Pelodiscus sinensis: one gene and its partners. The protein of the gene in region 3 purifies or fractionates together with the protein of the main gene of each other region. This does not show direct contact. Links are inferred from orthologs where the notes say so. Each region holds a gene or a part of one and is shown on either strand. Other genes may lie near its edges.

Region 1 (6,850 bases), on a different chromosome or scaffold from region 3:
CCTCTAATTTGTGACTATTTGTGTGTGGAATAAATTTTGTTCTGTGCGCCAAGGCATGCGCAGGTGCGCACCACCAAGAAACACTTGGTCCCAGCTATGGATCAATGGGCAGTATTTGCATCTCTCCTGGGCGGCCGCCCAAGCGCTCAGTGTACGCAAAACGCCGATGTCTCCTCCCAGACACACAGCCCAATTACAAAACAGGGATTATTTAGCAGGCACAACCCCCAGCTGGCTCCACCCTCTGAAGAAGTTGTTCAACAACTGAGAAGACACCAAGCGAGGCATCCTAAGCAGTCAGCACTGAGCGCGGCCAGCCAGAAGGATTCAACATGTCCTCCCATCTGGCTTTCTGCGCTCACATGCTGAGTGCCCCACTTGGCTTGTATCACGGTAGATGTCGTTCGTCTGAGGTCCGCTTTCAGCAATCCCTCCCCGTTCCGATGGTCCCAAAGCCCCCGGCAACGGAGCTGTGTGTGCCAGCCAGGGATCTCAGAGCACAGTGTGAGTAAACACACCCCTGCTAATTAAGGGGGCGGGGTGCCAACGAATGCAAACGAGACCCTGAGTTGCCAGGCACTCACCCTTTCGCTTTTCACCGAGCCGGTCACCTCGTCGTCGTTTAGGTGGCGCTTGAATTTTGGAGGCATCTTTCCTATTCACAGAACTGGCCTGGACTGTCTGTACCGGGGGGTGGCGGAAGAAGAGGCTGCGTAGAAGGGAGAGGGAAGAAAACATCTCAGAGCCCATTGTGCTGAGATCAATTCTCTGTCCGATCGCCGCGGTCTCCCTAAAACTCAGCCCAGTGAAACAGAATCCATTGACAAATGCCACAGGAAAGAGAATGAAAAATCAACCCACCGGCCCAGCAATGCCAGGCTTTCAGGGACCCCAAGGGACAGATCACGTCGTTCCGTCTAGTTTCAGAAACTTTGACCCTGAAGAGACGTGACGGTACCTGCTTATCTTTACGCATGTGACTGTGCAGGCCACATGTGAGTTTCCGGAGGGCCAAGGCCAAAGCGTTTAAGTTCACTGGGGCTGGGACTGTGTTTTTCTGCATTTTTGTACAGCTCTGAGCACAGCGGAGAACCGATCCACAACCCTTATCAAGCCCTTTGGTCTAAAACCCCAAAGCGACCAATTTTATCAAAAAGCCACAGGTTACTAAACCAGGAAAGAAAAGCAATAAAACCTGACGAGCCCCCACAGGATTTTGGCCAAGCGCGGTCTGCTCTCTCTCTTCCACCTTGCCCCCTTTGCTACGGTCAGTGCCAACGAGGGGCCCAGTTGGAAGAGTTAAACCCTGCTTCTCTACAGAACAGGCCCATCTCATGTAGGCACGGCAGCATGCAAAGTTCTCCAGCGTTCCTCCGCCAACGTGTTCCGTTCCACCTGAGCCAGACAGACGGCCCCTGCCCTTGGCGTCTTTGGGAGTGACCCACAGATGCCGAGGGTGGTGGAGAGCTGGGCTGGGTAAATATCTGTCAGCAAGGAACTGCACCCCACTTCATAGTGATCACTTGCAGGGCTGACCTCGTCTGGCTCCGTGTCCCAGTGACCCAGGAGGTAAAGAATCTGGCTCCCCGAGCCACCCAGTTCTATCCTAAGCGGCTTTCTACCCCAAGTACCCTGGATACGGCTTTGCGGGTTTGAACATCACCACTCTCCTCGGCTGCAGGAGTCAGTGGAGATGAAACGTTGCAATCCCGGGGAACCTGCCACCCCGGAGCGGGCACATGGAAAATTGCAGGGAGAGCCGTAGGCTGTGACAATACCAGAAATGCAGGAAATTTAGCCAATGTCCCAGCACAGCGAGCACTGTCTGCTCCCCTAAACAGCCAGACAGCCCGCAGCAGGGCAGGGCCTGTCCCCATGTGCTGAAGGATGAGAGTGTCGCTACAGGTTAAGAGCAACAGTCCAGACACAACCGAAGCCAGGAGCAAAAGAGGCACAAGTTAGAGAATCTGGAGAAGTCACCCAGGCAGCTGATGGGGGTAGGGGGGTACAATGGTCCTGGGCAAGGAGTGGGGGGGGGGCGGGTGTCACCCAGCTGGCTGGGCCGGAAGCAGGGACCACAGCGAATACGAGGGGCTGGGCTGGGGGTTATCGGAGGGATCATGTGGCCGGTAGAGGAGAAGCCCTGGCAATGAGCACAGGCTGGAGGAAGTGAGAGATACCCCAGTGCTAGGGAACTGCTTTCCCCGATGGGTCTCTCCTGGGACCCCTCCCCCGTGAAGCCCCCGAACCCCACTCCCCTCTAAAACCCAGCGCTTGGGAGGAGAGGGGACCCTGAGACGAGCTCACGTGCAGCATGAGTCTACACGGGGCCACCAGACAACAGCAGAGGGGGCAAGAGCTCTGCAAGCACACGTAGCTGGGAGCCCCCAAAGCCCTTCACCCACAGAACCCCCAAAGCCTCTCCACAGAACGGCCTCCAAGGACCCCCCCAATTCCCACCCCATTCCCCCCACAGAGCCCCCTCCCCAAGGGCCCCCTCCCCCCCTACAGAGCCCCCTCCCCCAGGGCCCCCAGGCCCTGCCCCCCACAGAGCCCCCTCCCCCAGGGCCCCCAGGCCCTGCCCCCCACAGAGCCCCCTCCCCAAGGGCCCCCAGGCCCTGCCCCCCACAGAGCCCCCTCCCCCAGGGCCCCCAGGCCCTGCCCCCCACAGAGCCCCCTCCCCAAGGGCCCCCTCCCCCCCTACAGAGCCCCCTCCCCCAGGGCCCCCAGGCCCTGCCCCCCACAGAGCCCCCTCCCCAAGGGCCCCCAGGCCCTGCCCCCCACAGAGCCCCCTCCCCAAGGGCCCCCAGGCCCTGCCCCCCCGGAGCCCCCTCCCGATAACCCCCCTGCCGGCCCCGCTCACCGCTCCGCGGCTGGGAAATGGCCGGGCTGCGCGGAGGGGCCCAGCTGCGAGTCAGCTGCTCCATCGAGCGCTCGGCGATCCGGGCCGAGCGCCGAGCCATCGATTCCTGCCCGGCGCTCGGCGGGCTGGCCCCTGGGGGGCGCGCGCGTGTCTCGAGCCCACTCGCGCGAGGGGGCGGGGCTGAGGCTCGCTGCCAGCTGGGAGCCCACGTGGGCAGCGGCGCGGCGCTCGGGGCTGTCGCGGTCCCGGCCCGTGTCCACGCGGGGGTGCAGCACGGGGGGGGGGGCTCTGCACCCCCCCGCACGCACAGCGATTGTTCAGTCCCAGTGCGGGAGGGAGGAAATGCCCCCGGCCCAGATCCTACAAGGCACTTAGGTGCGTGACTGCCATTGAAGCCAAGGGGAATTAGGCGCTTGCTGCCATTGAAGCCAAGGGGAATTAGGCGCTTGCCTTCGAAGCGCTGGCGTTCAGACGTGTATCAGCGAGCCCCCAACCCGCGTGACTAGACCCCAAAGATGTTAAGGCCAGAAGCGATGGTTGGATCATTCTAGTCTATACTGCAGGCCGCAGATTTTCACCCACCTGCACCTACTAGCTTGTGTCTGACTCACCTACATCTTCCAGAAAGGCGGGGGGGGGGGGGGGCGCGAACCAGCCACCCCCCGGACCTCTTCCGCACCCAAATGCCTCCCGCCCGCCTGTAGCTCTGCCGATCAGCACCTCCCCATCTCTCCACCACGATCAACTGTTCCACGGTGGGCACCTGCATTTTCTGTGTGTAAAAATCCTGATCAATTCACTTCTCAATCTTACTTTGGAGAAGAACAGAACATATTGAACTCTAAGACCCCCTACAGGGCCTTTTCTCCAGCCTTCATTCCTTCAAAGTAGGAATAAGAGATCCTCCGGAAAAGGGCTTTTTTCCGGAGGATCGGGGCCAGTGTAGACGCTCTTTTCCGGCTTTTCTAAAAGCCGGAAAAAAGCGGCGGATATTTTTATTTAAATGCCGCGGGGGATATTTAAATCCCCCGCGGATTTCCCTATTACGACCTGTAAAATTAGCATGCCCCTTTCGGAAAAGGGGCCAGTGTAGACGTAGCCCCTGTGTTTAGAAAAAGGAGATGGAAGCAGTCCCTCTTTGGAGCGAAAGCACACACACCTACGGCAAATCCACAAACTCTGCACAACGATACTTGCCAAAAGGAAGATCCAATCTGGGGCTTCCTGACTCAGAGGGTGGCTTTTAAAATGCTGCCGTTTGCGGAACCAGTTGCAACCGTGCAGAAAAGCAGGATGTTTTGCGCATACTTACAACCTTCCACAACTGATCTGCCTCTAACTGCTGTCACTATTGTAAATCTGCTTTTGGAAAATACTCTTTTGAGATTCTGATTAGCTGGGTTGTTTTTATACAAGCAGGAAACAAGCCTAACATATAGCTACCGTACGTTTTTGTTGTTGTTTTGTTTGTTTTCTTGCAAAGGCATTTGATGGCATTAATAATTCTCCATCTGTTATTTTGTTAAATATATGAGCTTCTTTCCAATCAGTGTATGCTGGGTGTCTGTTTATGCCAATATCATTATAACCTTCCCTCCTTTCCTCCTGTTTTCAGTAAACAGCAGTTGAACATTTGGCTAGTCTGAATGTGTGAATGGGTCTGATCCTTACCTGGTGTGAATTTATCAATCAAGCTATGCTGATTCGGATTTGGCTCTCTCTCTTCCCAACTGACATTTTGGGCAGTTGCACTGGTGTGGTCTAAGGGATGGTTCAAATGTACTTATGTATTTTAAAAATGTGCATCTGTCTGTCCAATTGTGAGTCTGTTTGTTCAAGAACTCTTCCTAAATGGTAAGGGCTAGGACCACCACATTTGGTATGCAGCTTCCTCTTCTGGGCTGCTACTTGTGTGCAGTTCCTGCCTCCTCTGGTCGCTGCCTGTCCCGATGTCATTAGGGTCCAGAGTCAACACCCAGCTGAGCGGAGAATGGCCACGCCCCCTGCCTGCAGGCTCGGGCAGGCGCGAAGCTGTAGCCACTGCCCCCTGGGGAGGCTTTGGTTCTGCAGCCCATGGATTCATGTCACAGCCTCCCAGCCCCGCCCCGGGGCCCCGCCCCCGCCTCCGAGCCCCGCCCGCCCCGCAATGGGCGGGCTCCGGACGCGGACGTAGCGTCGCAACGTCCCAGGGTCGCGCGGCGCGGCGCGGGCGCACGTGGGGAGAGGCCCCGCCCCCTGCCATGGCGCTGCTGCCCCGCAGCGCGCGCGAGTTCGGCTCGGCCGGCTACTGGGAGCGCTTCTTCCGCCAGCGCGGCGCGCGCGCCTTCGAGTGGTACGGCGGGTACGCGCAGCTCCGCCCCGCCCTGCGCCGCTACGCGCGCCCCCGCGACACGGTGAGACCCCGGCCCCCCCTGCGCCCCCCCGGGATCCCCCTCCCCTCCCCCAGCGCCCCCCCGGACCCCCCCCGGGATCCCCCTCCCCTCCCCCAGCGCCCCCCCGGGATCCCCCTCCCCTCCCCCAGCGCCCCCCCCGGGATCCCCCTCCCCTCCCCCAGCGCCCCCCCCGGATCCCTCCCCCGGGATCCCCCTCCCCTCCCCCAGCGCCCCCCCCGGGATCCCCCTCCCCTCCCCCAGCGCCCCCCCGGACCCCCCCGGGATCCCCCTCCCCTCCCCCAGCGCCCCCCGGGATCCCCCTCCCCTCCCCCAGCGCCCCCCCGGGATCCCCCCCGGGATCCCCCTCCCCTCCCCCAGCGCCCCCCCGGGATCCCCCTCCCCTCCCCCAGCGCCCCCCCGGGATCCCCCTCCCCTCCCCCAGCGCCCCCCCGGATCCCCCTCCTCTCCCCCAGCGCCCCCCCGGACCCCCCCGGGATCCCCCTCCCCTCCCCCAGCGCCCCCCCGGGATCCCCCCCGGGATCCCCCTCCCCTCCCCCAGCGCCCCCCGGGATCCCCCTCCCCTCCCCCAGCCCCCCCCCGGATCCCCCTCCCCTCCCCCAGCGCCCCCCCGGGATCCCCCTCCCCTCCCCCAGCGCCCCCCCGGGATCCCCCTCCCCTCGCGCCCCCCCGGGATCCCCCTCCCCTCCCCCAGCGCCCCCCCGGGATCCCCCTCCCCTCCCCCAGCGCCCCCCCCGGATCCCTCCCCCGGGATCCCCCTCCCCTCCCCCAGCGCCCCCCCGGATCCCTCCCCCGGGATCCCCCTCCCCTCCCCCAGCGCCCTCCCGGATCCCTCCCCCGGGATCCCCCTCCCCTCCCCCAGCGCCCCCCCGGATCCCTCCCCCGGGATCTCCCTCCCCCAGCGCCCCCCCTGGCATCCCTTTCCTTCCCAGCGCCCCCCCCCGGGATCCCCCTCCCCTCCCAGCGCCCCCCCCGGATACCCCCTGGGATCCCCCTCCCCTCCCAGCGCCTCCTCCGGGATCCTGCAACCGCTCCTTCCCCCTGAGATCCCTTCCCTTCCCTCCAGCGGGATCCCCCTTCCCCTCCCCCCAGTGCCCTCCCGGATTCTCCCTCCCCCAATGCCCCCTCAGCATCCCTTCCCTTCTCCCAGCAGCCCCCCCGGGATCCCTTCCCCCTCTCTCCCCCAATGTCCCCCCCCCCGATCCTCCTCTCCCCCAAGGCCCCCCCCCCCCGGCATCCGTTCCCCACGGGTGTTTGCTCGTCTCCATGGTGTGTGAGGCGGGTTGGGACCCCCAGGGAAGCTACCCTCTCTTTGCATGTCCCAGGTGCTCGTGGTGGGTTGCGGCAACTCCGAGCTGAGCGAGCAGATGTATGACGTCGGCTACCAGGACATCGTGAACGTGGACATCAGCGAGGTGGTGATCAAGCAGATGAGGGAGCGCAACGCCGACAGGAGGCCGAAGATGAGCTTCCTGGTGATGGACATGCTGCAGATGGACTTCCCGGACGCCCGCTTCCAGGTGGTGCTGGACAAGGGCACCCTGGATGCCATCCTGGTCGACGAAGAGGAGGCCACTCTCGAAAGGGTGGACAGGAT
Region 2 (7,654 bases), on a different chromosome or scaffold from region 3:
CTCATGGGGAGTCCCTGGAGCTCTCCTAGGAGATGAAAATGCCCTGGGGTTTGGACTCCCCTCCAGAGCATACTTCCCACTCCCCAGGAAGCCTCACAAGCTGCATTTGCACACGCACGCACCCCCAGAAAGCCACACAAACTGCATTTGCGCATGCAACCTCCCCAGACAAAAAAAAGGGGGGGGGGGAGGGCATAGCCAAAATTTATTTTGCTTGGGGTGGCAAAAAGCCTAGAGCCAGCCCTGCTCCCACCCTCTTTGACAGCTTCAATGGACACCATCCTCACCCATCCATGTGAGATACAGAGAAAGGGGAGAGGACTGCTAGACACTATGGGTGAATAAGCAAGGACCAAATAGTTGGGCCTCACTGCCCCATCTGATCATACTCTGAACAGGTACTTAGACATTTCTGGACATTCTGTAACTTCACCCTCTCTTTTCAGGATAAGACTTATTTCTGATGCATGGGCAGTTTGGAATGAAAATATTTTTACTTAGCAATAGTGGAGCAATTTGCTTCAGTGTATAGGTTTTGGCATTAAAAGCTAACTACAGTAAACTTTGGATAATCCGGCACCTTTAGGACCTAGGGGGTGCCGGATTATCAGATATGCCGGACTATTGGAAAGGGGGAGAGCTATGAAGGGTCTGGGGTGGAGTAGGGGGGATGCACCCCTTGGCACTGCGGGACCAACCCGGCAGTACCTCAGCTGCTCTGCCCCAGGCTTCCCAGAGTCAGCCGCTAGTCAGTTTCAGCAGCGGCTGAATTGGGGAAGCCCGGGGCAGAGCAGCTCCAATTGTCCAGCACTTCCGGGTTCCAGATGGTGCCAGACCATCAGGAGTGCCGGACCATTGGATGCCGGACCACTGGAGTTTTACTGTAACATGCTGTATTTGACAGTTTATGTTGCCTGCCAACAGAAGGGGTGTGATGGTGTTAATGTTTAAACTGTTAACCAATTAGGCTCATAGGTTAACTTCATGGCTATGTAAAAAGCCCCCCCTCGTCCTACTGCTTCTGTATCAACAGCAGCATCGGGGACAGGCAGGAAGCCAGTGCCTGCCCTCTCCCTGTATTGCTGCCTCTGACACAGAGGCAACAGTGGAAGGGAGGGGAAGGAGAAGGTGCCATCAGCTTTGTGGGAGCTAGTACACGCAGGGAACCATCTTAAAAGTTGGCTCCCCTCTGCCCCCCTGTGTTCCTGCCTCCATATTCCTAGCCTACAGCAATGGTTTTCAACTCTCTCTCATTTGAAGACCCCGGAAAAAGATTTGAATGGAGATGTGAAGTCCTTTGGAAATCTTAAACAGTCTGCAAACTCCAAGGGACCCACCGGTAAAAAACCATTGGTCTACAATATTTTGTCTCTCTTGGCACTTAAATCATAATGTCTTTTGGAGCAATGATTACATTGAATGCATTTATACCAGGATGGGCAAAGGGCTTTCTGCGGGCCCCCTGCTGCTCTCCCTTCCTCAGGCCAACCAGGGCCTGGGGACGGAGGAGCATGCAGTTTCCTCGCCCCCACAAAAGCAGACAGCAGCTAGAGACACACACCAGCTGTTTTAAAACAACCACATTTATCTCTAGCTGCCGCACACCTTTGTCGAGAAGCTTTGCGTATTCCCTGCCCCCAGGCCAAGTAGGGTCTGGGGGCGGGGAGCAAGCAAAGTCTTTCATGTCCTGTCCCTGTCCTGCCAGGGGAGTGCGGCTGCTAGAGAGACACACCAGCTGTGTCTCTATAGCTGCCATGCGCTCTAGCGGGGGCAAGTAGACTTCACATGCTTCCCCACCCCCAGGCCCTGATTGGCCTGGGGGCAGGGAGAGTGCACAAGGTCACCTTCTACTGGGCGCCTAAAGGGAAACCACCAGCTGTTTTAAAACAGCTAGCATTTCTCTCTAGGAGGCAGGGCAGGAGATGGAGGGGGAAGACTTCTCACACCCTCCCACCCCAGGCCATCTGGGGAAGGAGCACAAGAAGTCTCCTGGCTCTGCACCTTCCAGGGTGGCCCCCTTTTAAAAATTATTGCCCACCCCTGATTTATACTATACTGTTCTCAGCATAACAGTACTAATATTAGTTGGTGGCCTTCTGGTGCCATTATTGTATACATGAACAAGCAACAAAAGCAGTTATGTGTAAACGCTTGGCTTTCAAAATAAGTTTGCTGTGAGGACAAGTTCACTTAAAACTGCTTGAGCAAAATCCAGTCCCAAGTTTCCTTTCCAGTCTATTTCTGATGCATTTCTCCTTCATCTCATTTCTCTCATTCACCTGCCTCGGAAGCGCCACTCCGCGTCTCTTTTCTTTCGCTCAGCCTCCTAGCCTGGGTCTCAGATTCCCGGGCAGTGGGGGAGGCTTCCCCGAGGTGTGAACCCAGCGGAGGGGCCCGTCACTGCCTCGCTCTACAGCGCGGGGGGGGACCTCCGGCCCGCGCTATCTGCCCCGGGCCCCGCTGTCACCGGGTTTGCGCGCACAACAGGCTGGGTTACCAGCGACTGGCCCCAGGGAAACAGGATCCGAGCCTCAGGCTGCGCCGCAAAGGTTCGTTCCGCCCCCCGCCCCCCCCGGCCAGGCTCCCGGGAACCGCCGCACCGCGCGCGCGGCATTCTGGGAGCTGTAGTTCTCTCCGCGGAAGCGCGCGGGGCTCAGCTCCCAAGGCGCCCGGCCGCGCGGGGGGGGGAACGACAGCCCGGAGCGAAGAGGAACCGGGCGGAAACGGCTGCTTCGAGAGCCCCCGGAGCCTGGAATCGCCTCCCTCCTTGCCCCGCCCCCGCGAGCGTCTCCCAGGAGCGAGCGGCACCGCCAGGCCCGCCGCTTCCTCGCTGCCCCGGCCTCCCGCGCCGCGCTCACTATTTCTCCGCCTTGGCAATGTGCTCTAGCGCCTCGTTGATCTTCTGCGCCGCCATCGCACCGGGCCGGTCTGCGCCTGACAGGAGCTGCCGCCGCCGCCACGTCCCCGCCCCTCCTGCCTCAGAGAGGAACAGGCTACGGCAAGCCGGAGAGCTCAGTATCGTACGAAGGGGGCGGGACCTGATGCTATACGCTAGCGCGCCTGCGCGAGAAGCGGCGGGAGGCGAGCCGAACGTGCCCCAAAGGGACGTGGCTGGCGGAGGCGGACGCTCGGCGGGGGGGCACAGAGTCATCCGTGCAGCAAGGGAGAGAGCTGCGCGCGCAGCTCCGGGACAGGCGTATAGTCGCGTGGCTTAAAGCTGTGTCTTCTGCCCCCCCCTTCAGGGACTCTAAGAAGAGGCTTGGCTTGTGGTGGGTCTTCCTGGTTGCACTCCAGCTCCCCTTTCAGGACAGGCACAGGAGCTGCTTAGCTGCTACTTGCCCATTCCCCAGAAGCCTGGCACAGCAGAGAAGGGGCCAAATGTTTCATGTCAAAAGCCACCTCGTTGATTTTGAATGTAAGATTTTCCCTCTCTTCACAGTATGTAAACTGCACAGGGCTATGAATATCTAACCAGGCCCCAAACCGGTGAAATTAAGAGTCAGACCATCTCTCACATGTGCACTGTCCCATGGTGTCCTTGCTGTACCGAGATAAGCTCAGCAAGCCACATATTGGCTCAGCATTTCCTCCTCCACTCCGAAAATCTAAAACTAGCAACATTAGTTGACAGATATAGCAAGGCTACCTGCTGCTCCTGCCAGGCTCCTGTAAGGTGTGTGCTTCTTGACAAGTGCTCCACACATACTCAGCCCTTTTTATTACCTCTTCCCTCCTCCCCTGGTTCTTTCCCTACATCAAACACATGCCAGAGTAAAGGAAATAGACTGGATACAACAATGTGGGAAGGCCAAGTGAGATGATCACTCACCAAACCTGCACCAGGAGCATTACTGTTTCAGGAGCCTATAGGAAACGTTGAGAGAAAGACTATGTAGCAACAAAATAGTAGGTCAGGATTCAAAATATCCCATCACATGATATGGGTCAGTTAGTACATAGTCTGGCAAGAGCAGAACAGTTCCCTCCAGAGTGTTCAAGAGAGCACTAAAAGAAACAGCCAGCTGCTGGGTCATCCTGCCCACAACATCCTCAAAAGAGTAGGGAGTTTCTTACAAGCACAAAACTAGCTGGTAGCCTCTAGGGGTGTGTCTAGACTACAAGGTTTTGTTGACAAAAGTGGACTTTTGTCGACAAAACTATACCTGCGTCTACACTGCCGCTGAGTTCTGTCAACATAACGTCAACAGAACTTGGCAGTTTTGTCGACGGCAGTAAACCTCATTCTACGAGGAATAACGCCTTTTGTCAACAGAGTTCTGTCGACAGAAGGCGTTATTGCATCTACACTGTCCTTTGTGTCTACACTATTGTCAACAAAGCGGCTTGCTTTGTCGACAGAACTGGATGCTGTCTAGACGCTCTTTGTCAACGGAAGCTTTGTCGACAGTATCTGTCGACAAAACTTCTGTCAACAAAAGCCTGTAGTCTAGATATACCCTAGGACTACGTCTACACTGGCATGATTTTCCGGAAATGTTTTTAATGGAAAAGTTTTCCGTTAAAAGCATTTTCGGAAAAGCGCGTTTAGATTGGCAGGATGCTTTTCCGCAAAAAGTGCTTTTGCGGAAAAGCGTCCTGCCAATCTAAACGCGCTTTTCCGCAAAGAAGCCCCGATCGCCATTTTCACGATCGGGGCTTTTTTGCAGAAAAGAAATCTCTGCTGTCTATACTGGCCTTTTTGCGCAAAAGTTTTTCGGAAAAAGACTTTTGCCCAAACGGGAGCAGCATAGTATTTCCGCAAAAGCACTGACAATCTTACATGAGATCGTCAGTGCTTTTGCGGAAATTCAAGCGGCCAGTGTATACAGCTGGCAAGTTTTTCCAGAAAAGCGGCTGCTTTTCCGGAAAAAGTGGCCAGTCTAGACACAGCCTAGGAGTGTATAGTGGGTTCTGAGTGGCAACTGGCAAGATTCTTGTAGCAGAGGATGACCCAAGAGATACCGTCTTCCTAGTTCTGGCAGACAGGATAGAATTTGGCCCTAGAAGTATGACTTTTCCTAGTTGCTGTGCCTTTAAATAAATATTTTTATATGGGAAGTTGTGACAGACCGAGCCGGATCTGGGCATTGTGAGAGCATCAGCTCAGGGTGAATTGCTCAAAACCAGGGCTACTTACAGCCCTCGACTGGAGACCTTTCCCAAATAGGCCACAAACCAGTCACACAGAGCACTTCAGCTGCCAATCTGGCCAGCAGGAAGCCTCACAAGCCCCTCAGACACTCCAGCTCTCCCTGTGCCGCAATCAACCCCGGACCTTACACACAGGTGAGAAGGTTTACTAACTCCGAACAGATCCTCCCAGTCCCAAAGAACCAGCCACAGTACCAGGCCAATTTACACTTTAGATCTTACCCACAAGAGCACTCTGGGCCAATCCTTTAGAATCTAAAATCTAAAGATTTATTAATGAAAGAAAAGGCTGAGAGTAAGATTGTTAAGGAGAATACATTACATACATCAATCACGAAGCTCTTGATGCATGTTCTTAGCAGAGATGTTACAAACTATTAGCTTAGAATTCTGGTGTACATGCTATATTAAGATGGGTCAGCAATCCTTCCTGGCTCTCTGTCCCATAGCAAGGATGCATCTGGAATCAGTAGCAAGATTGAAGACAAAATGGAGACATCCTCATAGCACTTTTATATTCCTGGTGCTTCCCAAATATGGAGCTGGTCACATGATCTAGTGACCTATCTGTGATTCCCATGCAAGCAGCCATGAGGCACTGGCTAGTCTGCAGGCTTCCAGACACATTCCAATGGACACCTGAGGAATGCATCTAGAAGCCTGCATTATCCATGAAGCAGTGCTAGTTAGCACAGCTGTTCACTGAACAATCCTTCTTCACAATAGGCAGTCCAGGCCCATTGCTCCCTCCTAGACAGAGAACATTTACAGTACAAGTACAGAGCCCATGTTCATAACTTCACATACAAACATCATACAAGTACATGAGTAGCATACATAGACTCAGTAAAGCATAAGCTTCTATTTGACACCTCACATGGCCTACTTTGTACAGAATTTGGGGCAAACACCACTCGTGGGTGCAACAGTGATCTGTCTGCTCACTTTAAAATCCAATAACGTGACAGAAGTGAATTAGTAGAAACAAGAAATAAGAGAGTTGCTGTTTTGTAGGCATAAAATGACCCCTATAAATACTTCTGAATCAAATTGTTTCTTTTAATTTTCCAACACTGTTCAGTTGTCTGGTTAATAAAAGCTGTTTAATTACGTATCTGCACTGTCTCATTATGCATTACTGGAATGACCAGCTAAATATTTCCAAAGATAGTAGTATTTTATGAAACAGGGGTATTCCTGGGAAACTTTTATTGTATAGTCCCAGAAGTTACAAGAAGAAACTGTTGCTTTTCAGAGGATTTTACATCTCAGAGGGCTCAATTATGATCTTTGATGTGAATTTGATTTGTACATAAGTAACTTGTTTTAAAATGGCCAGGAACTCTATTAAAAAATGTGCACTTACTACAATAGTATAGGGAATAACAAATTTTTACAACTATAGTCTCACACATTCAATTTGACTTAGTGTAGAAACAATTAGATTTTCTGTTAGATCTTGTTAATTGTACAATGTTATTGCTAGCACACCAGAAAAACTTGCTCCCTACCTAACTGTCTTTCCCCTGGGTATGCATGTCACAAACTGGTTCAGCCCTGCTCTCTGATTGGACATCAGTCTGTTGCAATTGGATCTAATGCTCCTTAGCACCACTGGGTCTGGGTAGTTACTGGTCATTATTCCTACCTCTGGGTCTCTCAGGCTAAGTCTATACTACAGCCTTCTTCCGCAAAAGCTTATGCAAATGAAGCACGGAGTCGACTACACAGCTCCTTTTTGCGCAAAAGCCTCTTGCGCAAAATGTCTGCTAATTAATTATGCAAATGAAGCTCGGCAATATTCTACTCCACATTTCATTTGAATAAGCTTTTGCAGAAGAAGGCTGCAGTATAGACGTAGCCTCAGAGTGTGTCTACACTTCATGTCAGCTGACTCAGGCTATGGCCACACTACAGTTTAAGTCAACATAAATTATGTCACTCAGAGGGGTAAATTAGCCACCCTACAAGCAACATAACTATTCCAATTTAAGCATCGTGAACTAAGGATGTTAAGAAGCGGGTAACTGATTAATTATGTAGTCAATACAATTTGTATCGACTACGCAATTAGTCGATAAGGGAAGGAGCTCTGTCCCAGCTCATGCCGGTCCAGGAGCTACCCCCACTGTGCTTCTGTAGTTTGGCCGCTCTTACTACATTTAAAATGCAGAGCCACAGTGGTCCCTGACCCGCGGGACCAAGAAAAAAGAAATGAGGCTAAATAATAAAGGAGCAGCTGGATAAAGCGGGGAGGGCAAGGTGCAGACTCTATCACTAGCACTCACCATGTTCCCTTTGCCTCACAAGCTCCACAGAGTGAGAGAGACACTGGGAAAAATCACTGGCAAGAAAACCAGGCAGAAAAGAAAGGTTCGAGCTCCCCAGGGCTGGGGCAGGGTTTGCATCCCTTGCCTGCCTCTCTTTGCCTCCTTTGCCACCCTGCACTCTTCCCAATCTTCGCCTCTTCCTGTAGTTGAAAACCCAGCATCACTGATCAATC
Region 3 (7,218 bases):
TCTGCCCCAGGCGTCCCCAAGTCAGCCACTGCTGAAACTGACCAGCGCTGACTACAGGAAGCCCGAGGCAGAGTTGCTCTGCCCCAGGCTTCTTGGAATCAGCCGCTGATCAGTTTCAGCAGCAGCTGACTTGGGGACGCCTGGGGTTCTTAAGTTGAATCTGTATGTAAGTCGGAACTGGTGTCCAGATTCAGCCGCTGTTGAAACTGATCAGCGGCTGATTCCAGGAAGCCCGGGGCAGAGCAGCTCTGCCTCTGGCTTCCTGTAGTCAGCCGCTGGTCAGTTTCAGCAGTGGCTGAATTTGGACGCCAGTTCCAACTTACATACAGATTCAATTTAAGAACAAACCTACAGTCCCTATCTTGTACGTAACCCAGGGACTGCCTGTATGGGCACATGAACCTGATTTTGACCCACAAGAAGCAGAGCAGATGCTCCCTAATCAAATGTTTATTTAACCCTGAATTTAACACTCAAATACTTTGAAGATGGAAGCTATAGAAATAAATAGCTGAGATAATCTGTCAGAAAATACTGATCAGAAGCATTTCCTTTTCCCTTTTCTTGGGCCAACTGGATCTGTTTTGTGATCTGCCTCTCCTTCCATTCTGTAACATCCTTGTGGCCACAACTATTGCTTACTTGGAAGAATAATATTAGGTAAATATTTAATGTATTTGTATCTGTCTTGTAACATAGAAAAGCTGCTGGAGGCAAGGAGGAGAATACAGTAACAGTGCATACCAAGAAAATCTCCAGGGGCCATCAAAATCCTGCACAACACTGTTTGGGAACTTCTGCCTTATTTCATAAGTGTCATACATTTCTATCAGAAGACATGAAATGCAGACAGAGGTATCCATATGTTGCAAATCAAAGTGAACTGCTCCCTAAGTTACAAAGTGTCTGCTCTGAACAAGACATTTTTTATCAGAAATACAAATCCAAAACAAAATGCTCATATATATATATATATATATATATATATATATATATATATATATATATATATATATTTGTATATTGCTTTGACAGAAGAAATGTATTATGATCTCATCTGAGTCCATGTAAATCTAGAATGACTGTACTGAAAGCACTGAAGTCATATTGGTGTAAAACCAATGAGAGATCATATTCAAGCTCACGATCTTCAGCTAGCAGAGGAGAGTAGTGTAACGTCACTATTTTGCCATCTAGTGGTAAATACTGGGTTATCCAAAATATACTACAACTGTAAGGAAAATAAAGTAATACAAACAGTATTAAAATAATTGCCAATCAGAATGAAATATTAAACCCAAAATGAGCATGCATACAGAATGTATGTAGCATATGATAGCATAAATGTCCAGGAGTGCCATTTTTATTACTTTTTATGTATAAAAGTCACAGCACCTTTGCTTGCACAACAGAATTCCAAATAGCTAGAGCATGAAGAACTCACCTAAATCCTACCAATCTACTTTGTTCCACCTCTCTAGCATGCTTTAACACAATGAGGGGCAACCTCGGGTAGTGAGTGGACTGCACAAGTGGCCCTCCTTCACCTCAGTGGGCTGCAAGAATATTGTAACTAAGACGGTCTCCCAGGATAGGGTAGTTTTGCTAACTGTGCTTACCTACCTAGCATTTGCAAGGTGTGCTGTTTGAACTGTAACAACACTTTGATTGGATACAGAAAGCACACAGGTCTCACAATGTTGTGTGCAATCAGCACATACTTCACTTCACATGCACTTGCTTTAAGTATGTGTCACTTTTTAAATATTGGTAGAAAAAAACACTCAGCAGATGAAAAGCAGTGTAATCCGGCAATCCTGTGCATGAGCAACAGTAAACAAAACGTCTCATGGGCCACTCACAGAACCACAATGGGCCACATGAGTCCCTTAGGTTGCTCACTGCTGCTTTAGTAGCTATAACTAAATACTATCAATGGCTACGTCTACACTGGCATGAATTTCCGAAAATGCTTTTAACGGAAAAGTTTTCCGTTAACAGCATTTTTGGAAAAGCGCGTCTAGATTGGCAGGATGCTTTTCTGCAAAAGCACTTTTTGCGGAAAAGCGTCTGTGGCCAAACTAGACGCGGTTTTCCGCAAAAAAGCCCCGATCGCCTTTTTCACGATCGGGGCTTTTTTGCGGAAAAGAGTACTATGCTGTCTACATTGGCCCTTTTGCGCAAAAGTCTTTCGGAAAAAGACTTTTGCCTGAACGGGAGCAGCATAGTTTTTCTGGAAAAGCACTGATGATTTTACATGAGATCGTCAGTGCTTTTCCGGAAATTCAAGCGGACAGTGTAGACAGCTGGCAAGTTTTTCTGCAAAAGCAGATGATTTTGAGGAAAAACTTGCCAGTCTAGACACAGCCAATTTATTTAAATTAACTGAAGAGAGGGCACCATGTCTGTAATAATCAACCAGATGGAAAAGTTATGTGGAACGAGTATTGATATCAAAACGTTAGCAAATAGTTTTTGTCTGGGTTTTTCTTTTTCTTCTAAGTTGTTTTAACTTTTCACTGTTATTGTATTATGGTAGCAGCTAAAACCTCCAAGCAAAGCTCCACAGTGCTACACAGCTAAAACAAACACATAACAAAAACAGTCTGTTTCCTAAAGAGCTCACAGGTTAAGTAACTTTTATGCATCTCTGCCATATTTATATAAGCATATATTTGGAATTAGAAGGGTTTTGTTTTGTTTTTCTACAAAGAACATTGGACTCCAATTTCAGACTTCGAATGAACACTTTCTCAAAATTAAAAAGCCAGTGAGAAGATTCTTGATATCCACAATAATAAAGTTGTAGAACTGCCTAGAAGCCAAAGATGACTGGGAATAGAAGACATCTATAGTGGGTGGAAACAACTATCATTAAACATTGAAAAGACAGAAGTGGGTGGAGCTGTGAACTGCTCCTCTTCTAATTACCAGACTCCAGGACTGAGGCTGTACAGTTCCCAACTTCCTGCTCTGCAGTTGCAGGTTCACAGTATGTTAGAGGAGGACTGCATGGCTGAAACTGTGACTATCCACCTGCTTTCTGAGGGAACAGAGTCCAGCTGTAGAAAAAGATTCCAAAACTGGAGACTCTGCTCACCAATTGAGAGCAAGAATGTGTATGTGTAGAAGCTGAGTTCTCTTAGGCTCAAGCCCATTCTGTAGTGGAGGGTCTGTGGGTGAGAATGCGGCCAGGCTCCTCTGTGTCCAGTTAGAATCTAGAGCATTATTCCTCAGGAAGACAAAGGAGCTGGATCTTCTACCTGTTCGCCTGCATTTTTAACCTGATTTTGAGGTCTCGGAGAGCATTGCTACACTATGGAGAAGACTGACCCTCGGGAGGTCAATTTAATGTTCAAGTTAGCAGGTCTAGCGTAGATTCCCAAATTGAACGCTGAAGGCAGCCCCCACCGGGGTCAGGGAAGCTGGTGGGAGTGTGTGCTCCCACCAGCCTCCTGCAGTGTAGACGCTGCAGTGGCTCAGTTTAAGATAAGCTGATCCCAGCTAGCATTTCGTGTAGCTGGATGGAGTACCTTAAGCCAATCTGCCTGGTCTAGTGCACTCAGGGCCTAAGATAGTTGGGGGCTGGCTCTTCTCTTCCTTTCCTCCTGGGCACTAGCTCAATTAGGAGCTCTTTAATCATCTGAAATTAAAAAAAAAATCCTACAAAGAGGGGAAACATGGCTGAATAGTTAAGGAAGAAAGGATAGTACAAGCATGGCAAAACAAAATCAGACAGGGTAAGGCACAAAAGGGGTTACATGTAGCAAGGGGCATACACAAGGCAATACAATGAGAGGCTTGACATACATCGGGAGCAAGAGAAAGATGAAGGAAACTATAGGTCACGTGCTTAACAAGGAAGGCGAGCTAATAACTGAGGGCATCCAGATACGTGAGGCGCTGAATGCTCAGACCCAGTCCATAGCCAACATCTTGGCTGCAGAAGATTCGCCAGGAGCTGAGCTTGCAGGGCTGAGCGCTAGGCTCTGAGCGGCAGCAGCTCCGCGAGGCAGAAACGCTCGGGCCGTTGAAGGAGTAAGAGATCCGGAGCGACTAGGCTCCCACCCCTGCAGCGGGCTCCCTTAATGACGCCTGACTGGAGAGGCTCCCGCTTTGCGCGCTCAGGGGGCCGCCCGGAGGCTGCAGGCGGCGGCGCGCCGGGCTCAGCCCGCTAGGGGGCGGGAAGGCAGCTGCTTGCCGCGTCACTGGGCCCAGGCGAAGGGGCGGGGCCGGCGAGCTCAGCCCCGCCTCCTCTCCCCGGGACTCTTCTGCTGCAGCCGGAGCCGCCGCTCAGCTGAGCGGTGCCGTGCGGCGTCCTGAGCCCGGCTGTGCTGGGAGGCGGAGCCGCTGGGGCCTGGTAAGAGGCGCTGGGGGTGCAGCGGCGCCCAGGGGAGTCGCTGCGCTCGCTTGTCTTTCCGGGGGTGCCCCCGGGGGGTGCCGCCCTGCTCCCGGGCGGCTCCAGCTTCCCCGCGGCAAGGGGGCGGGCAGCAGCGGGGGCCGCCCTGCCCGCGTGGTGGGGGGCGGCGTGCGGGTGCGGCACAGCTCCCAGCCCCGCTGGCGAGAGGGGAGGGGCAGGGCAGACGCGGCGGCTGCCCACGGGAAGGGATCGGTTCCGCATTCCCGCGGCCCATCGCCGCCGAGCTGCAGCCCGTCCCTGCGCCCGGCTGCACCCGCGGCTGGCTGGAGAGCGGGTAGCCCTCGCCCGTCGGGGGCACACGCCCGCCCTGCTTCCCACCTCCTTGGACTGTTTCCCCAGAGCCAAGAGCGACTCGTGCACCCCAAGAGGGTTGTGCGAGAGCCGAGTCTGGGTGGAGGCAGTGTTTGTCATGTGCGGGTGTGCCCTTGTGCTTCGTGCTCCCACAGAGGGAGGGTTAACGCTCAGGAAGGAAACGCCTCCCTCCCGCCCCTTCTGTCTTCCTTTGCAGCCCTGCAGTTGTTGCAGTGTCAAAGAATTGCAGCATTTCTTTCTCCTGACACTGAGCAAAGAATTTCTTGGAGCAGTGATACCCCCAAACTGTTATTGTATATATCCCTCTTTAGGGATTGTCTACCTGGACACGTAGAGGGTGTAGAGGGTGCCTTCACTATGCGTAGGCAACGATCAATCCAGCAGGGGTAGATTTTTTTTTTTTTTACACTATAAATTGATGCTGAGTGCTCACCTGTTGACTCCAGTATGCCACCAGAATGAGAAGCGTAGGTGGGGTAGATATGAGTTCAACTTACTGTGGTGAGCATACAACAATAAGTAGATCTAGGTATGTCGCTGTCAGCTACGTTATGTTTATGTAGCTGAAGTTGCACAGCTTGGATCCATGGCCTGCTGTAGGGTAGATAGATTGGGCCCTAGTTTGCAGCAAGTTGAGACATAAGCTTGTCTTGCATTAAGAGACTACTGTGTGCTGCCAGGCACTCATGGGTTCCTTGTCTACTTCCATTTCAAAGTGGGATAGAGCAAAGTGCAGAGCTGAGTTTTTGATATGCTGCTGTTTGACAAGCAGGTATTGTAGAGCTTTTGGGAAGTTGCTGGACTGCCTGTGTGCAGAAAGTTAGTGTATGAAAACCTGAAAGTGTGAATCCTTGATCTTTTTTTGTGCTCGTTATCACATCCACTACTTCACTGTTTTAAAGCATGTGTATATATGTTTGTGTAAATAAGTTAATGTGCCCTCTGAGTCTGCTGAGTCTGCTATCACGTAGCTACATGCAACATAACAAAAATGTTTGTTTTTACATGTGGCTCTTGAATACATTAGTAGATTCTAATGCTGGAAGTGACCCAATTGTGATCACCTAGAAATCAACACACCCCATAGAATTTCCCCAAAATAATCCCTAGAACATACAGTATCTTGTAAATTTAGAAAAACATCCAGTCTTGAGTTTTAGATTGTTAAAGATGACCTTTGATAAACTGTTCCAGTTGTAATTACTCAGTGTTAATGTATGCTTTATTTCCTGTCTGAATGTTTCCACCTTCAACTTCTAACCATTGAATTAAATTGCTCTCTTTACTTGAATGAGGATCCTATTATTAAATACTTGTTTCTCCATGTAAGTACTGAAACTGTAACCGGGTCGTCCTTTACTCTTGATAAACTCCTTGAAAGGAGTTCTAAGTACGGTAGGCGTACTCTAGTCCCTTAATGCTACCCTGAAAAGTAAGAACCCTTAAACAAGTGGTCCTGTAGCACTTTAGAAATTAACCCCAAAAAAAGTATCATGAGCTTTTGTGAGCACAACGCTCTTTTTCAGATGAGTGGAGCTAGAGGGGGGGGGTTCCAACCTGGGGCAGAGGATTGGGGTGCAGGAGAAGGAGTAGGGTATGAGCTCCAGCCAGGCAGTCCTTACTTCTGGGCAGCAGCACAGCAGGACTCAGGCAGGCTCCTTACTTTTCCTGATTCCGTGTGCCTCCCAGAAGCGGCTGCCATGTTCTGCTCCTAGGTGGCGGAGCTAGAGAGCTCTGTGTGCTTCCTGTGCCCACAGGTACTGCCCCCATAGCTCTCCTTAGATGCAGTTTTTGCTCAGTGGGAGCTGCGGAGCTGGCACTGAGGATGAGGGCAGTGCACACAGCTTCCCTGATAGCTCCTAAGGGCCGCAGAGACATGCCAGCCGCTTCCAGGAGATGCAGAGAGCCAGGACAGGTATGCAGCCTGCCTTACCTCCTGTGCCATTAACTAGACTTTTATGGCCTGGTCAGCAGTAAGGATGTAAAATCCTGTTTAATTGGTTAAATGCTTAAATGTGATGCTTAACGGGTTAAAGGGGTGGGGAGCAGGGAGGCCAAAAGAACTCATCTTAATTCTATTTTCTGATATTTCTTACAAACTAAAATGCATCACAAATCAAGGCTGGGCAACAGTTTTTGATGTGGGGCTGTTCCTAAGAATTTGGTAAGTGGTCAAGTGCTGCACTCCTAATATTAAGGGAGGAGGTGCAGGGTATGGAATGGAGGTTGGATGAGGGTAGGTGAGTGGGGCATAGGATCTGGGAGAGGGCATGGTTGCAGGAGGGCATTATAACATGGAGGTGGCAGTGCAGGATCTAGGAGAGGCTTGTGACCTGGGACAAGGGTGCAGGAGGGGAGTGTAAGGATTTGGGTTGTGACTTAGGGCAAGGGGAAGGGCTGTGACCTGGGGCAGGTGAGGGGGGAGGGGAGACGTGGTCTGGGAGAGAGACGTATGCAGGATCAGGGGGGCAGAAGGTATGGTTTGT

Evidence for each region.
Region 1: the proteins of STX7 (region 3) and VAMP4 purify together in Homo sapiens (affinity purification with mass spectrometry; 3 studies listed by BioGRID and IntAct, counting the BioPlex papers as one, with this or other methods). This does not show direct contact. The link is inferred for Pelodiscus sinensis from reciprocal best matches to the Homo sapiens genes STX7 and VAMP4.
Region 2: the proteins of STX7 (region 3) and NAPG purify together in Homo sapiens (affinity purification with mass spectrometry; 3 studies listed by BioGRID and IntAct, counting the BioPlex papers as one, with this or other methods). This does not show direct contact. The link is inferred for Pelodiscus sinensis from reciprocal best matches to the Homo sapiens genes STX7 and NAPG.

The regions. Positions count from the first base shown.
Region 1 is NC_134719.1:64,088,843-64,095,692, forward strand, and holds the start of VAMP4 (vesicle-associated membrane protein 4), read right to left. Parts: upstream 3,017-6,850; 5' UTR 2,864-3,016; intron 710-2,863; 5' UTR 651-709; coding exon 585-650; intron 1-584. Other genes in the region: METTL13 (eEF1A lysine and N-terminal methyltransferase), read left to right, coding at 5,104-5,256, 6,579-6,850. UniProt on the Homo sapiens protein: Involved in the pathway that functions to remove an inhibitor (probably synaptotagmin-4) of calcium-triggered exocytosis during the maturation of secretory granules.
Region 2 is NC_134712.1:85,948,659-85,956,312, reverse strand, and holds the start of NAPG (gamma-soluble NSF attachment protein), read right to left. Parts: upstream 3,017-7,654; 5' UTR 2,915-3,016; coding exon 2,859-2,914; intron 1-2,858. UniProt on the Homo sapiens protein: Required for vesicular transport between the endoplasmic reticulum and the Golgi apparatus.
Region 3 is NC_134713.1:94,319,158-94,326,375, reverse strand, and holds the start of STX7 (syntaxin-7), read left to right. Parts: upstream 1-4,203; 5' UTR 4,204-4,360; intron 4,361-7,218. UniProt on the Homo sapiens protein: May be involved in protein trafficking from the plasma membrane to the early endosome (EE) as well as in homotypic fusion of endocytic organelles. Mediates the endocytic trafficking from early endosomes to late endosomes and lysosomes.